4 linked regions of the Xenopus tropicalis genome follow. The protein of the gene in region 1 purifies or fractionates together with the protein of each later gene. This does not show direct contact. Links are inferred from orthologs where the notes say so. Each region holds a gene or a part of one and is shown in the gene's direction. Other genes may lie near its edges. The genes, in order: ptp4a1, cnnm3, cnnm1 and cnnm4.

What was found.
Region 2: the proteins of ptp4a1 (region 1) and cnnm3 purify together in Homo sapiens (affinity purification with mass spectrometry; 6 studies listed by BioGRID and IntAct, with this or other methods). This does not show direct contact. The link is inferred for Xenopus tropicalis from reciprocal best matches to the Homo sapiens genes PTP4A1 and CNNM3.
Region 3: the proteins of ptp4a1 (region 1) and cnnm1 purify together in Homo sapiens (affinity purification with mass spectrometry; 4 studies listed by BioGRID and IntAct, with this or other methods). This does not show direct contact. The link is inferred for Xenopus tropicalis from reciprocal best matches to the Homo sapiens genes PTP4A1 and CNNM1.
Region 4: the proteins of ptp4a1 (region 1) and cnnm4 purify together in Homo sapiens (affinity purification with mass spectrometry; 6 studies listed by BioGRID and IntAct, with this or other methods). This does not show direct contact. The link is inferred for Xenopus tropicalis from reciprocal best matches to the Homo sapiens genes PTP4A1 and CNNM4.

The regions. Positions count from the first base shown.
Region 1 is NC_030681.2:94,857,946-94,862,561, reverse strand, and holds the start of ptp4a1 (protein tyrosine phosphatase type IVA 1), read left to right. Parts: upstream 1-1,706; 5' UTR 1,707-1,867; coding exon 1,868-1,972; intron 1,973-2,960; coding exon 2,961-3,053; intron 3,054-4,616. UniProt on the Homo sapiens protein: Protein tyrosine phosphatase which stimulates progression from G1 into S phase during mitosis. May play a role in the development and maintenance of differentiating epithelial tissues.
Region 2 is NC_030679.2:125,259,638-125,264,022, forward strand, and holds the start of cnnm3 (metal transporter CNNM3), read left to right. Parts: upstream 1-1,506; 5' UTR 1,507-2,101; coding exon 2,102-3,608; intron 3,609-3,978; coding exon 3,979-4,122; intron 4,123-4,329; coding exon 4,330-4,385. UniProt on the Homo sapiens protein: Probable metal transporter.
Region 3 is NC_030683.2:35,150,650-35,154,920, forward strand, and holds the start of cnnm1 (metal transporter CNNM1), read left to right. Parts: upstream 1-1,297; 5' UTR 1,298-1,422; coding exon 1,423-2,836; intron 2,837-4,271. UniProt on the Homo sapiens protein: Probable metal transporter.
Region 4 is NC_030679.2:125,249,415-125,253,233, forward strand, and holds part of cnnm4 (metal transporter CNNM4 precursor), read left to right. Parts: intron 1-3,226; coding exon 3,227-3,326; intron 3,327-3,433; coding exon of another isoform or gene 3,434-3,498; exon of another isoform or gene 3,499-3,536; intron 3,537-3,819. UniProt on the Homo sapiens protein: Probable metal transporter. The interaction with the metal ion chaperone COX11 suggests that it may play a role in sensory neuron functions. May play a role in biomineralization and retinal function.

The DNA.
Region 1 (4,616 bases):
GTAGCGCTTTATAAAGATATACATACATATATGTACAGTGTGTAACAAAGGGTGCTAGCATATTCTGCAATTAATAAATCGAGTGGGGCGGTAGCCCCTCCAGTTTGTTTCTCCGGACAGGGACATAATGCTATTGGTTTTGGGCTTGCAACCCCATCTGTTACTGACCTCTTTTTGGGGCTTCAATTAGTTATGCCACTGCACAGGGAGATAAACACAGATCTGGTCAGTTGATATATGCTGGTACATTCCATTAAGCATTTACTCTAATAATTGCTCAGCAATTAAATTGCCTTTTGATAAAAGGATGCCCCGATTGGTGCTCTGTTCTGTCCTCTTGGAATATAGATTGTGTTAGAAGAATTTTTCAACAATTGGCACTGATCAGGGCTGTCGGGTAGAGCTGGGCGGTATGACCAAAAATTTATATCACAGTATTTTTCAAAATTATATCGGTGTCACGGTATTTGACGGTATTTTTTTTCCATGCATGATTAGGTGTTAACCCCATTTCCTAATAAATTAGAGAATAATTACTGCAGTATTGAAAATCAGAGTCAGGCAAGCGAAGGATCGGCAACAGAAAGTTTGATAGCTTTAAATACCCCCCACGCATGCACAGAACCGGCGCGTCGCGGACGTGGCCGCTTTGACATGTATGTGCGCTTTGACACGCGTGCGCAACGTCCCGCGGACAACGGGATGCCCACGCAAGGAGGCGTGCGAGACTGGGCCGCACGGGTGAGTACCCTGACACCCCGGTATTGCGGTATCTGAAAAATGAATATAGTTTTTAAAAAAAAAAAAAAGGTATTCGGTATTAAACGGCATATCGCCCAGCCCTACTGTCCTAAAACTGTAGCTGTGTGTCTGTTCTATCAGCCAGAATATTCTTTTTGTCTCATAAGTAGCAGTGGGTAAAACTTTTCACCAGGTTTTTCTGCAAAAAAAAAAATGCATAGACAATGGATTGTAAGGAAAAAAAATGCGCATAGACAATGGATTGTAAGGAAAAAAAATGCATGAAAAATTCAACACAAAAAGGCGCCTATTGACTTCATGTGTTTAGCGAAGTTTTGGTGTAAAGACTGATTTGCCCATCAGTACTGATAAGTTTTTAGGCTTATCACGTTACTGCCACATTTTGCACTAAACTGAGTTCATATGCCTTGTGTGAAATGTGTGAACAATGTGGCTTTATCTCTTCAATAACAGGCAAAAAGTTTTGCATAATGAAGCAATATTTAAATTGTGTATTTTCAGTTAATATTTTATATATTGTCTTTTTATGCATGAACAATGATATGGGGCGTAAATATATGCCACTTAGGTTTATGGCTGTGCTAGCTTTTATGAAAACTTTCAGCATATTAAAAGAGCATTGTTTCCCCCTCTTTTTCAACAGCAGTTCTGTGGTGTTCTTGGTCACACATTTATGGAGTTTCTGAAGGGCAGTGGAGACTACTGCCAGGCACAGCATGAGCTCTATGCTGACAAGTGAACTGTAGAAGAAATTCATTACTACTCCACCAAGAAACCCCCCTAAGAGCAGTCGGCCTGTACAAGAAGTGTTGGATTAAAACTGAATTTGATTGAGCACTTTGCTTAAGGGGCTGAAATCTGGATGGGGTAAACCTCAGTGCACTGCATTTCTTTTGCCTCAGTATTACTGATTTGAAGATTTGCTGCTTCTCATACGGAGGTCCATTTCGCTTCCATTGCTTCCATCCAAGCAAGCACTGAGAATTTTCCCGTGGAGTAGAGTGAAGTTGACTTCAGCTACAAGCATAATTTCTTTTGATTAACTTTTAGTTGCCCCCAAACACTCTTCCTTTTTTAAACCGTGCACATTTTTTACTAATTTAAAATGGCCAGAATGAACCGCCCAGCTCCAGTGGAGATAACCTACAAGAACATGAGATTCCTCATAACACACAACCCCACCAATGCAACTCTAAACAAGTTTATAGAGGTAAGACTAAGTGAACTTTGCTGTAAAATGGGAAGTTAAAGAATAATGAAACTGTTTTTTCTCTCTAAAATGACTCTTAAAATGTTACCAGAATAACATGCCTTTATCGCTGCATTCTCATGTAAATTCTGTATCACAAGCCTCTCAACTTCACACTAGACTAGGAAGCAGCAGAGAGCTGAAGTTCCTACCTCTTTTCTGAACTATCCTCCTCTCTGAATGGAGATGCTCAAAGAAGTGTCTGCGGCACGTTCTTGCTGCCTCTGCTTCAATCGAAATCAATCAGGCATGTGCAGTAGACACCTTCAACTGTTTTTACACTCAGAAAAAAGCCCAGCAAAGAGCTTTATGCTCGACTAGAAGGTAGCTGAGAGCTGAAACGGAGTGCAAGAAGAAAGGGATGTTATTTTGGGGCTATATGAAGTCTTTTAAAAAGATTTTGATAAGTCTTACTTATCCTTTTAAACATAATGCAGCAGTAATATACCTCAGTAAAAAGTAAATTGAATTTATTTTTAGCTTTAATTTTATATAGTACTGGTTCTCACAAAAACACCTTTTATATAGACTTCTCTGCCTTTAACAGTTTGAGTTTTAGTTAATTCTGTCATTTATAAAGGAGAGAATACTATTTCTTAAATTGATAAGCCTGCTTTTTGTGAAAGCACTTGCTAATTGGCTTGTTTGTGTCATGCCATTGTGTTATTGCAGTTTATCACATAAGCCTCAAATGCTTGTGGCTATCCAGTTAATGAATGAAAGCAGTAATATTGTACTTACTAGAAACCAAAAATAAATACACAAGTATTGGTTTTGTCATGGGTATTGTGTTTCATTGCAGTTACATGGTTCTACCCAATAGAACCATGTTTTTAAATGAGATGTGGGTGAAGGATTGCTAGTATAGGTTATAGGCCATGATCTTGAAATAAATGCACCTTTTAAGAAAGTCCAACATTAATGCTGTTTTCTCACAAATCTCTTATAGGAGCTTAAAAAATATGGTGTTACAACATTAGTAAGAGTGTGTGAAGCCACTTATGATACTGCTCTAGTCGAAAAGGAAGGAATTCAAGTTTTGGTGAGTAAATTTCAAAGTGTTAAGGCACTATTTTGATGACTGAAATACACTCATGGAGAAAATGCCTGATGTGCTGTAGCCCTAATTTGTATGTGATAGGGTAGTGTTTGACAGTTAAAAATCACTGGGGGTGCCAAATGTTAGGTGATTCTGATCACTTACCTTTTACTTTGGGCTGGTGCTCCTGTTAGGAGAAAACGGCACCAGACTGGAGTAGCTGTGAGCGAGTGATCCTCTTCCGTGTCTCTTCATTATGAATCCCAAGGCTGACACATGTGTAGCAGAATGAAAATACCAACCTTTTTTGTTTAGGTTTGGCTTTTCACTTTACTGTGCAAGTGGCGCAAAGAGAAGTAGTAAGAGGAACACTACCCCGGGGTGGTGTGGTTATCTCCTAACAGGAGCACAAGCCCTGTAAGCAATTACAATCACTGATTGTAATAGTGATTAACAGTGCTTAACATTTGGTACCTGCCAGTAATTTTTACATTTCCTCCTCCTTTAAGTAAAGGAAAACTGAGTTATCTTATGTAATTATTTGATATTTCAAAGTTGGCATTGCATAAGCAGTTTGCAATTATGAGTGATGATAACTCAGATTTTAGATGGGCTTACTTATTTAGAAATACAGGACTAGATCAGCAACTCATCCCACACATAAATGCATTGACGCTACTGTACTGGGTTTCTATAGTATAACATGACCTGGACTGAAATGATTTTTTTATGGCTACCTGTAAGCTCCTCTGGGTGAGGCACTAATTTTAAATGATGTTTAAAAAGGTTATAACTGACACCTATCAGGTGGTTTTATGTAAGCTACTTGATCATGCTTTCATGTTCACAGATTTATAACATTGGCTAAAATTACTAATAACTGATAGCTTAAAAGCAACCCACTATACAGTAACCTCCCAGCTACTTATAGGAAAATGATGCTCAAAATAATACATAGGGTTATATTCCCCACAATGCAGACCCTCCATGCTGCATAAGATACAATACACTTGTAGTCTGTTTTCTGCATGGGAGAGCAACATTGATAAGTTACTGCAGAAAATGACATCAGGATCCATAAAAGCTTTCAGGTCGCTTCATGGTATGAGTACTCACTCGATTGGTGTGTGCCTCTACCACCTTGCCATGACCTTTTCAGTCGGGTGCTAAGCAGTCACATGACCCCTTGCCTAGGCTTTAAACAAACATCATAGTGAAATCAAACTGCAGCACATACTTGTTGCAAAAGTGAAAAGGTGTCCCCTTCATGGTATGAGGGCAGAATGGTGTTACAAGACCCATCCATTTCCTTGCCTGCTGGTTGCGCAGATGTTAAGTGGTGTGTTCCTCTGCCAGCATTTTTGACATCTGCTGAAAAATGGGCAGTGCCCCATGCCTCAAAAAGCAGGCAGACCAAGAACTGTTCATGAGTGTGTGCTTTTTACAAATAAATATTTCAAATGAGCCAGTATGTGGTTTATACCTATTTTTTTTTTTTTTTTTTCTGTTGAACATCTGAAGTAAACAGCCAGGTCTTCTGCCCTCTTTAACCCAAGCATAGGTTTA
Region 2 (4,385 bases), on another chromosome or scaffold:
GTTTCTGCGGGGGGGATGCATGTTATTCATTGTATTCATTGGTTGCTTGTTAGATTACTTTTGGCAAATTGTAATCACCTTGTTCCTGTCTCCAGATTGAGGGGTTTCGTGTTCAAGGGGTAGCTTACCTTTAAATTAACTTTTAGTGTGACAGTGTAGACAGTGGTTATCTGAGGTCATTTGCAATTGGTCATCTTTTTGTTCAGCAACAGTTTAGCATTTCAGCTATCTGGTTGCTAGGGCCGATTTACCTTGACAATTGGAAAATGAATAGAAAAGGGGAAAAAAATAGAAAGAACAATACTCTAAATCAATTAAAAAAAAAAAAAAATATGGGACATTGTGAATTGTCCAACCTACTGAAAGTTAAAGGTGAACTGTCCTGTTTAAGATTTAGGGGGCTGTGCGCTACCTGTAACAGTGTAACTGAATGCGCATGAGAGAAGGCAAGCACTAGGCCTAACTGTTTGAGAGCAAGGTGAACATGATTGGCCAACAAGCAATCAGTGAATATTGTCATTTATTTTACAATAAATTTCCTGTCCTGCAGAAGAAGGGCTCCTGAAAGAGGCATAAGGGGAACTAAGACTTACATACTACTATGAATTTTTCATTAAATTTACAAATGTTCCTTGTTTTAGTAAGCTGTAGTTTATTACATATAACTATTGAGAGAGTTCCCCTTTAATGTACTAAGATTTCACAATTTTTTTTTTTTGTATGGATACCCATGTTCCCTTTGTACTTGTATCCTCTCAACCATAGGCGTATTGGCCTTATCTAATGACCTGCTGTTGCTTGAAGGAAAAAAGTGAACAAAGAACTTCTAGTATTGCACAAGTATTCAGTCTCGGTTCCTGGGAATTCCTGTCGTAAACACACATCCCCTCTGATTGCCGTGCAGGTTCCAACAAGTTAAACTTGCATTTTTTGGATGAAACTGACCTCCTTTTTACCTGCTCTATCTTTTTTTTGGTTTCCATAAAAGACCTTTTGCCTGCTAAATAAGTGCTGAATACAGTATCTGCACAAGCCATAGATGTGTTTTGCTTTAGGGTCAGCAGCAGCTGCTGTGTGTAGGGTGGCAGGCTGGGCCCTCCTAATCAGGGATTGGGAAATAACACTCTGTACTATTGGGGGGGGGGGGGGGGGGGGCTTTCTGCACAAATAAGGGAATTGTTTGCAAATATTTATTTATTTTTGGTTTTTCCCTTTTTTTTTTTTGCCTTTTACAGATGGAAAGAATGGTACGATTTTTGGATGGCTGTATATTCTAAATTGTTTAATTATTAAAGAGTTTATTATTTAATGGGTTTGTGTGCTTTTTGACATTTACATTGGAGAAGCCCTCTATTGCCCCCCCCCCCTTAATTTCCCAACAACAGCAAAGAAACTCCCTGGGGCAGCCCTGCTCCCCCACTGTGGCCGTGTGATTGGGCGCTCGACTTCTGCTCTCTGTCACCCATTGCTGACAAACAAAACGTTCCTTGCTTGGAATGCCCATGCACCCAGTTATGGCAGCTGAGCAGGGCTGTCCTGGGGGAATTATGGTGCTTATGGGGTTTGTTGTTAGGCTACTAAATGGGGCCCCTGGTTAAAGTATGAGATTCAGCCATTGCTTTATATAGAACAGTGTAGGAAATGGTTTATCAGTGCATGTGAAAGGTATGTTATATTAAGATTTTGTATTGATCTTTATATAGACTTCAACCTTATGCAGGCTCATATGCTCCTTATAGGATTAGCTTCTGGAGGTGAGAGAGGCAGTGAAATCTGAGATTTAGGGTGTATTCGTGAGCAGACATGAGAAACTACAACACCCATAATGCTAAAGGTTTAGTAGGAGTACGGTGGGAGGGGCTGACGTTCACTGTAAGCTATCGTATTACTGTGCCTAAGAGGGACAGGTCACAGTGCCCGAGGGGCCCAGTTCCTGAGGAGAAGTGGAGCCGTTGAACGCCGCAGAACTAACAAAAGATTTAAATCTTCCACAGCTTTTTGTCCTTGTTTACAGTTGCTTACAGTGTAGCTCCGCCCTCTGCCGCACCTCCTCCATTTTATAGGCTCGACTTATTCACCGAGCTTCTCACTGGCTGAGCGAATGCGGCGGCGTTCACCTGATTGGTTGAGCTGTCAAAGGCACAGAAGAGGCTGTTCTGCCTCTTCCAACATGGCGGTAGCCGTGGTTGGGTTGCTGCTTCTGGCCGGGTTCGGTGACACCGGGGTGGCTTTTGCGCTTGAAGATGGCAGCGTTGAAGCCCAGGTGTTAGGGCTACGGCTGGAGGAGGGAGCTGGCGTGTCAATGAGCGGCGGGCTGATCAGAGCTCGCCCTGGTTCGTCCTTCCGCCTCCGTCTTTATGGATCGGGGCTGCGAAATGACACCTGGCCCTGGGTCTCCATTGGCAGCCCCGGAAGCAAGACATGTTCTCCAGAGCCAGACTCGCCCCTCCAACTGCTGGAAGAGTTCCGAGTGTGCAGCGAGCACTCTGGCCTGGTCACTGTCCGGGCTCTCAATGAGAGTAAGGGCAGAGGCCTCCTGTACCCCCTCTGTACCCGCCAAGGAAACAGCTGGGCTCCATTCCCCGGCGGAGACACACTCATTACCGTGCTGGGGGGCGATGAGGAGGAAGAGAAGCCCCCCTGGCCAGGAGATGAACAACAGTGTACTTTGGGCTCCCTCAGTTCCCGCCTGCTTAGTTTTAGGGATGAAACTCCCTCTGTAGCACCCCCTGAGACTAATGCAAGGCAGTATTTGGCTTCCTGGCTCCTGGCTCTTCTTATTGTCCTGTGTATCCTTTTCTCTGGCTTGCTCAGGGGGCTGCAGCTCAGCACTCTGGCCCTAGAACCCTCAGAGCTTGGCCTGTTGCGGGATTGGGGAACCCCCAGTGAAAGACATGGGGCCACTCGGTTGGACCCCCTGCGGACGCGCTGGGGTGGGTACACACTGATCTCCATGTTGGCCCTTTGCTGCCTTACTAACTCAGCTGTGGCTGTTCTTCTTTACCATGCTATAGGTTCAATCCCTGCAGCTATTTTCTCAGCAGCTGGACTGCTTTTATTGGCTGGTGAGGCGCTACCAGCTGCAGTAAGTTCTCGCTGGGGGCTCATTCTAGCACCCAAGTGCCTGTGGCTTACCCATTTTTTCATGTTCCTCGCTGGGCTCCTCTCATTCCCTCTGTCATGGCTTCTGGAGGCAGCATTTGGGCAGGATCCTAGCTGCTGCCGACAAAGAGTCCGTATATTGGAAATGGCCCGATGTGGGGACCCTTACAGTGAATTAGTAAGAGATGAATTCAGCAAGGGGGCCCTGAGGAATCGGACAGTAGAGGACATACTGACCCCTGTGGTTGAATGCTTTATGCTTCCCAGTGATGCCTTGTTAGACTTCAACACCATGTCCAGCATCATGGAGAGTGGCTATACCCGCATCCCAGTATATGAAAACGAGCGCTCCAACATCGTGGATATCCTCTATGCCAAGGACCTGGCTTTTGTGGACCCACAAGACTGCACTCCACTGAACTACATCACTCGCTTTTACAGCCACCCTGTCCACTTTGTGTTTAGCGACACCAAACTGGACGCTGTGCTGGAGGAGTTCAAGAAGGGTGAGGGGTTGTGGTATGCAAGAGTCGTATGAGAATGTGAGCAAGCCTGTGTGTCCTCTCTAGGTTCTTCACTCATAACAAGGGTACAGATATATTAATAAACTGTAAAAATTAGGATAGCTAGGATATCAAGTAAGTGTTTAGCCTAAATGTCACCCTGAGTGGCCTTTACACTGGCCACTCCTTTGAGGGACATCTTAAATATGACAATAGCATCCCATATATTGTATTCAGCGAATTTAATGCAAGTATAATTGTATAACGTTTGCCTATGTAGCTTGGGCAAAATATATATATATTGTCTGTATTTTTTTGTCACTGTGTTTTAAATGCCACCTGGTAATTCTGCCTCTGTGACTTGGTTTCATAGGCAAGTCCCACATGGCCATTGTACAGAAAGTGAATAACGAGGGAGAAGGAGATCCGTTCTATGAAGTTATGGGGCTGGTAACCCTCGAAGATGTCATAGAAGAGATCATAAAATCAGAAATTTTGGACGAGTCTGAAGACTGCAGTAAGGAGATTCCTATTTATCTGATTAGACATTTATACCGATATTAAATATAGGAATTGTTTATAGCTGCGCTTGAGAACAGAGCTCGGTACTTTTTTAAACTGGGAGTTGATTGTAGGTCAGACATGCTGTTATAATGTAGATCATATTAGATGTCATCATGACCCACCTATGCTGATATTTGTTGCACCTTTAATTCTTCCACAGAGCGCAAAGTCAAGAAGAAGCGTCAGCCAGTGCAGCCAATACTAATACCCCGTGGT
Region 3 (4,271 bases), on another chromosome or scaffold:
AGCAGGAACTGTGGTGCAACTGCAGCCCTGTGGGCCCTGGGACTATGGCCGCACTCTACTTGAAAACTAGAAGCACAGCACAATCTTGTATAAGATTGCAACTCTTTCCCCATGTTGTTGACTGAGCACACCATGTTAATTATGCCACAAAACAACCTATACCAGTCATGGGACTGAGCACCCCATTTTAGTCATGCCAAAGAGCAACCTATGTCAGTCATGGGACTGAGCACCCTATTTTAGTCATGCCAAAGAGCAACCTATGTCAGTCCTGGGACTGAGCACCCCATTTTAGTCATGCCAAAGAGCAACCTATGTCAGTCATGGGACTGAGCACCCCATTTTAGTCATGCCAAAGAGCAACCTATGTCAGTCATGGGACTGAGCACCCCATTTTAGTCATGCCAAAGAGCAACCTATGTCAGTCCTGGGACTGAGCACCCCATTTTAGTCATGCCAAAGAGCAACCTATACCAGTCATGGGACTGAGCACCCCATTTTAGTCATGCCAAAGAGCAACCTATGTCAGTCCTGGGACTGAGCACCCCATTTTAGTCATGCCAAAGAGCAACCTATGTCAGTCATGGGACTGAGCACCCTATTTTAGTCATACCAAAGAGCAACATATGTCAGTCCTGGAACTGAGCACCCCATTTTAGTCATGGCAAAGAGCAACCTATGTCAGTCATGGGACTGAGCACCCCATTTTAGTCATGCCAAAGAGCAACCTATGTCAGTCATGGGACTGAGCACCCCATTTTAGTCATGCCAAAGAGCAACCTGTGTCAGTCATGGGACTGAGCACCCCATTTTAGTCATGCCAAAGAGCAACCTGTGTCAGTCATGGGACTGAGCACCCCATTTTAGTCATGCCAAAGAGCAACCTGTGTCAGTCCTGGGACTGAGCACCCCATTTTAGTCATGCCAAAGAGCAACCTATGTCAGTCCTGGGACTGAGCACCCCATTTTAGTCATGCCAAAGAGCAACCTATGTCAGTCCTGGGACTGAGCACCCATTTTAGTCATGGCAAAGAGCAACCTATGTCAGTCATGGGACTGAGCACCCCATTTTAGTGATGCCACCGAGCAGGAAGTAGTTTATACTATACAAGACTATATATTTCTGACAGTCTCCTGTATAGCCAGTCAAGGACATTTTACCTTGCGCAATGCATTTTTCTGCAAACTTCTAAGCAGCTCTTCACTTATTTAAGGCCATGAATATAATGCGCCGCGGGTATTCCTTCAAGCTCAGACTGCTACCCCTCAGTGTCTCCCCTCAGTGTCCCCCCTCAGTAACCCGTCTCCGCTTCGCCACAGGCGTCCCACCTCAGGGCAATGGAGCAATAGAAAGCCTGGCTTGGCGCTACTGCCGATCACGTGTGTCCCTCCCCGTTTCGCGCAACCTGTCACACTGTCACGATGGCGGAGGCCGTCGGCGGCCGCTACGGGTCCGGGGCAGTGTTTCTCCTTTTCATATCCCTCTCTCCCCGGCCAGTTTCCCTGTGGCTGCTAGGGCTTAGGCCAGAGGATACAGTAGGCGGACATGTTACCCTAGAAGGTGGTACCCTGAGGGCATCCGAGGGAAGCCGCTTTACACTCCGTGTGTATTTCCAGCCGCCTCTGCCGGCGCAGCAACTACAGCCCCCGCACCTATACAATACCCCGACATCGGAAAACGCGAGCAGCCCCAGACTGGTGTTTATCGAGGAACCCCGGTCCCATGGCTCCGATCCGTGCCAGGACGAGGGAACATGGGCCTCGGACGTTGAAGTGATGGGCCCGCTACAGCCCTCCCCTGCCCTGGTGGGCTCTGCGGTGGTGGAAGTGCGGGTGAGGGAGCTGAGGAAGGGCGAGCGGGGGAAGCTTTTCTCCCTTTGCGCCTTTGACGGGAGGCGATGGGAACATCACGCCGGAGCCCACTTTGCCCTGGAGGTGCGAGAGGCTGAGGCAGGGCTGCCGGTCTGGCTCCGGCTATTGGTGTCCCTTGTCCTGCTGAGCTTCTCCGCTCTGTTCTGCGGCCTCCGCCTCAGTCTCCTGTCTCTGGACCCGGTAGAGCTGCGGGTGCTGCAGAACAGTGGCTCTCCCGCGGAGAAGGAACACGCCCGCAGGGTCCAGTCTGTGCGCAGCAGCGGCTCCTACCTGCTCTGCACCCTTCTGCTCGGACACGTACTAGCCAATGCCTCCCTGGCCGGCTGGCTGTGCTCTTCCCTGCCTCCCACACCCGCCGGGAATTGGCTACCGGTTTTGGTGTGCACCGCCTGCGTTTTCCTATGCGGCGAAGTGGCCCCCTACTCTGTGTGCTCCCGCCATGGCCTGGCTATCGCCTCCCGCACCGTGTGGCTGACTCGGTTACTCATGGCAGTCGCCTTCCCCGTGTGCTTCCCCCTTAGCCGCTTGCTGGACTGGGCCCTGCGGCAGGAGATCAGCACCTTCTATACCCGCGAAAAGCTTTTGGAGACCCTCCGAGCTGCCGACCCCTATAACGATCTGGTGAAGGAGGAACTGAACATCATCCAGGGGGCCCTGGAGCTGAGGAGTAAGGCGGTGGAAGATGTGTTCACCCCGCTGGGGGACTGCTTCATGCTGCGTTCGGACGCGGTGCTCGACTTCAGCACGGTCTCCGAGATTCTCCGCAGCGGCTACACCCGCATCCCAGTGTACGAGGGGAAAGATCGCTCCAACATAGTTGACATCTTGTTTGTCAAAGACTTGGCGTTTGTGGACCCGGATGACTGCACCCCTCTGCAGACTGTCACTCGCTTCTACCATCGGCCCCTGCACTGCGTCTTCAACGACACCAAGCTGGACGCTGTGCTGGAGGAGTTTAAGAAGGGTGAGCTCTGCTTGGTGCCATGGGTTCCCTCAGTGTCGGACTGGGAACCCAGGGGCCCACCAGATAACTATTGACCCTAGGCCCCTAAATATTTTCCCTCCTTTCCTCACCCAACCTTTTTATTCTCCCAGTCTCTTTTATTTACTTGCTAGCATCTATTCTTCCATCTATTTCTCCTCTTTCTTCCCATACAGAAATAGGGAATGACCATGAAGCAGGCCAAATGGTCAGGAGCAGGAGGGCCCACTGACACCGGGCGCACCGGGAGTTTTCCTGGTATCCTGGTGGGCCAGTCCAACACTGGGTGCCCAAGAGTTCTGTAGCTTAGGGCAAGGCTCCCCAACCTTATTTACCTGTGAGCCACATTTAGATACATAAAGAGATGGGGAGCAACACAAGCCAGGGGTGTAATTAGGTCCAGTGCTGCCATAGGCACCAAACATAAATACGCCCCTACATTGTGCGCATGACATCATGGGCAGCGTGCTTGTAACATCACACGCATCCTTGTCGTGCGCGTGACGTCATGAGCAATCACATGCGACGATGTTGCAGAAGTGATGTCACACTCAGTGTGCGCTTGTAGTCGCTTCCACAGAGCCCGCGACCCCCTATCCTATCACCCCCCAGCTCCGTCGCCAAATTTCCTATTGAAATCTGCAGTGAAGGCTGTGGGGCCCTTTTCTTTTTAAATAAAAAAAGAAAACATAGGCACCTGCCCCCATACATAGGGCCTTTTTATAAATACACCCCTGACAAGCATAAAAACTTTCCTGGGGGTGCCATTTAAAGGAGAAGGAAAGGCTAAGTCACTTGGGGGTGCTAAAATGTTAAGCGCCCCCAAGTGACTTTAATCGCTTACCTTGTACCCCGGGCTGGTGCCCTTGTTAGGAGAAAACAGCCCTGGAGCGGGCGCTTCCTCCTTCCGGCTTCGTTTCGCTGCAACTAACACAATAGGTGCATGCGCAGTAGAGTGAAAAAGCCGACTTCTCTGTTAAAGTTCAACTCTTCACTCTACTGCGCATGCGCGCGCGGCGAGACAGGAAGGAGGAAGCGCTCGCTGCTACCTTGGGCTGGTGCTGTTCTCTCTGAACAGTGGCACCAGCCCGGGGTACAAGGTAAGCGATTCAAGTCACTTGGGGGTGCCTATCATTTTGGCACCCCCAAAGTGACTTTGCCTTTTCTTCTCCTTTAAGGGCTGATATTGTCTATTTGGTAACCCCTATATGGACTGGCAGCCTTTAGGAGGCTCTGTTTGGCATTGCACCAGGTTTTTATGCAACCAAAACTTGCCTCAAACCCAGAAATTCAAAAATAAGCATCTGCTTTAAGGCCACTGGGAGTAACATCCAAGGGGTTGGTGAGCAACATGTTGCTCCCAAGCCACTGGTTGGGAATCACTGGCCTAGATTCTTGTCAAGAACCCTACTATCCA
Region 4 (3,819 bases), on another chromosome or scaffold:
CACAGCGGGGTATTTATATAAACTATAGTAGGGTTTCTGTAGCAAACACCCCAGCTGTACCAGTGCAGGAACGGCTGCCCCCATATTACACGGCAGCTTATTTATATAAATCAGGGGTGTCGAACTCAATCAGAGAAGGGGCCAAAATCTAAAATCCAGCCTAAATCGCGGGCCGAATGGTTTACTGAACAGTGCCCCCAAAAATAAGTACCCCCAATTGCCTCATCATACACAGTACCCCCCCATAGACAGTAGCCCCCACACACAGTGCCCCCAATTGCCTCATACACAGTACCCCTCCATAGACAGTAGCCCCCACACACAGTGCCCCCAATTGCCCCCATAGAAAGTACCCCCAATTGCCCCCATAGAAAGTACCCCCAATTGCCCCCATAGAAAGTACCCCCAATTGCCCCCATAAACAGTGCCCCCAATTGCCCCCATAAACAGTACCCTCCATAGACAGTAGCCCCCACACACACTGCCCCCAATTGCCTCATACACAGTACCCCCCATAGACAGTAGCCCCCACACACAGTGCCCCCATAGAAAGTACCCCCAATTGCCCCCATAAACAGTGCCCCCAATTGCCTCATACACAGTACCCCCCATAGACAGTAGCCCCCACACACACTGCCCCCAATTGCCTCATACACAGTACCCCCCATAGACAGTAGCCCCCACACACAGTGCCCCCATACAAAGTACCCCCATACAAAGTACCCCCAATTGCCCCCATAAACAGTGCCCCCAAAAATAAGTACCCCCAATTGCCTCATCATACACAGTACCCCCCATAGACAGTAGCCAGCCCGCACACACAGAGCCCCCACAGAAAGTACCCCCAACAGACCAGTGATGTTGGCGGCTCCTTCTCTCTTATGCCGCGGCAACAGGCACTACTATAAGGTTGCGCCTCGTCACTGATGTGTGACGTCATACGCACGGGCGCAACCTTATAAAAGGGCCTGTTGCCGCGGCATAAGAGAGAAGGAGCCGCTGGCGCTGACGAAGAAGGTATGTTTTTGCGCGTGCGTGCAGTGATGACAGCGCAGTGCGGGCCACATTGCAAGGCCTGGCGGGCCGGATTTGGCCCGCGGGCCTTGTGTTTGACATGTATGATATAAATTATAGGAGATTTTCTGAAGTAAACACACAGTGCAGGGCAGCAGCACATTATATTTGTTACTTTTATACACTTTCATTTTTTGGTTACTGTTCCTTTAAACTATTGACTATCCATTCCCTTCACGTATACAAGTATTTCTAGTCCTGCAAATTTTTTTTACTTAATTAGTTATCGGTGAGAGTTAGCATACCTCCCAACATTTGAAAAGCAGAAAGAGGGACAAAAATATATTTTAGGCCATGCCCACTTTATGGCCACGCCCCCCAACAGGACCATTTTACAAAACCACACGCGAAAAGTATAAAATACACAAAAGCGCACCAGAAGACAGACACAGTAGCCCCAATCATTTTATGACATATTGTGGACCCAAGGATTTCATTATGCACTGTGGCACCTGTATATTATGACTCATGAAAGACATAGCTAGCCAGGGCCCCCTAAAACATTGGTCGTCAGGGCCCCCCTAAAACATTGCTAGCCAGGTTTTATGTTTTGCATTGGTGCCAGAGCATGGGCCCCCTAAAACATTGCTAGCCAAGCCAGCCCAGAGCCTCCTAAAACATTGCTGGTCCTCCCCCAGTATCCCCATACTATGGGCCACTTCCCACTGGAGCATCCTCCCCAACTTCCTACAGTTCCCCCCCCATCATCCGCCAGCTCCCCCCATCATCCTCCCAACATCCTCCAGCTCCCCCCAACATCCTCCAGCTCCACCAGCATCCTCCCAACATCCTCTAAACTCCCCAGCATCCTCCAGCTCCATCCAGCATCCACCCAACATCCTCCAGCTCCCCCCAGTGTCCTCCCCAACATCCTTGAGCTCCCCCCAGCATCCTCCCAACATCCTCCAGCTCCCCCCAGCATCCACCCAAAATCCTCCAGCTCCCCCCAGCAGCATCCCCCCAACATCCTCTAAACTCCCCAGCATCCTCCAGCTCCCCCCAGCATCCACGCAACATCCTCCAGCTCCCCCCAGTGTTCTCCCCAACATCCTCCAGCTCCCCCCAGCATCCACCCAAAATCCTCCCCATCGTCCCCCAGCTGCCCCTTACCTTAGTTTCTCCAGCTGCCTCCCAGCGTCCTCCAGCTGCCCCTTACCTTCCTCCAGCTGCCTCCCAGTGTCCTCCAGCTGCCCCTTACCTTCCCTCCCACTGCTCCTACCACCCCCCGCCCGCTTGCCCCGGCTCTTCTTCTCCTCCCCGTGACGTCACACGCATCTTTCGTTAGCCCCGCAGCTTCTGCACAGTGAATCCCTAAATGTTAGAACTGACCAGTGCGGCGCAGAAGCTGCAGCGCTAACGAACGACGTGTGTGACGTCACGGGAGAATTTTAAAATCGGGACAATTCGGTGGCTGTCCGGGACAGCGGGACAGAGAGGCAAAATTGGGACTGTCCCGTGTAAAGCGGGACAGTTGGGAGGTATGGAGTTAGGCTAGGTTCCCAGTGGGCATTGTGTTCCCTGTAACAGAGGAACACGACGCAGTGGAGCTGCCGCACCGTAACTGTGCGTTACGCCCCATTTAGTGAAGCATACAGCCAATGAAAAGCTTCATGGTCACGTGTTCGTTTATGCACTGCATGCATTGGGCTTTATTCTTATAGCAGAGAAGTAATTAATTATGACTGTTTGTGAATTGGGACATTTAAACTTGCTTTTTATTTATTTATTTTTTTTATTCCCATTTAAATTTAGTAGGAGTCGGAGTCGGTTCATTTTTTTCCGACTCCAGGTACCCAAAATTGACTCCGACTCCACAGCCCTGCAATTTAACCTAGCAACCAGGCAGTGGGTTGAAGAAGAGAAAGGAATATAAACAGGAGAGGGCCTAAATATAAAGATGTGTATTAAAAAGTAATACTACAGTAATAATAGTAATAATACAGAGCAATAGTTTTTTTGGCTGCCAGGGTCAGTGACTCATGTTTGAAAGCTTGCAAATAATTCAATAACTACATTTATATATACATTTTATATTTAATACTAATATTAATTGCCTGTTTCCCCTGGTACTTACCTGCCTCACTAAACACTTTGTATTGCTTTTCAGCACTGATGCAGATTTTAAATGTATCCATTACTTTTTTTTTTTTAGGGGAAAGTTGAAGTAGAAGCTGGCAAAGAGAACATGAAGTTTGAATCGGGAGCCTTCTCCTACTATGGTGTCATGGCCATAAACACTCCATCAGCTGCTGGTAAGACCTTGCCCCAGTTTTATGTTCCAAACATTGGTGCCACAGCACACATGTCTGTTCCAGAGCGAAGTCACCCACCCCAATTTATTTTCTTCCATTCTATTCAGCTCCTGCCCATCCCTGTACCGTCCTTAAAAGGGGTTCTCTCTTTTCCAGGTTAGCAGGTAAATGAGAAGCCTGCATGTGTGTGTATTGGGTGTGCATGATATTCACACACACAAGTGGCCTAAGACATAGGTGGGGTGGGCGGTTGCTTAATACAAGTTTTGACAGTTAATAGTTTCAGACCCTTTATGATAAAGCATGGTTTGTGCTCATATCTATTAACTAGTAAATTAGCTAACCCACTGCCATGCACCCACTAACCCCCTTGCTGTTTACTGGGCCAGAATTATACAAAATATGCTGCTTCTACTTTTTTTCTGTCTCCCACCCCCCTGCATCTAGATTGTATTTATGCATGGACTGGAGAAAAATAGGCCCTCCTAGAACT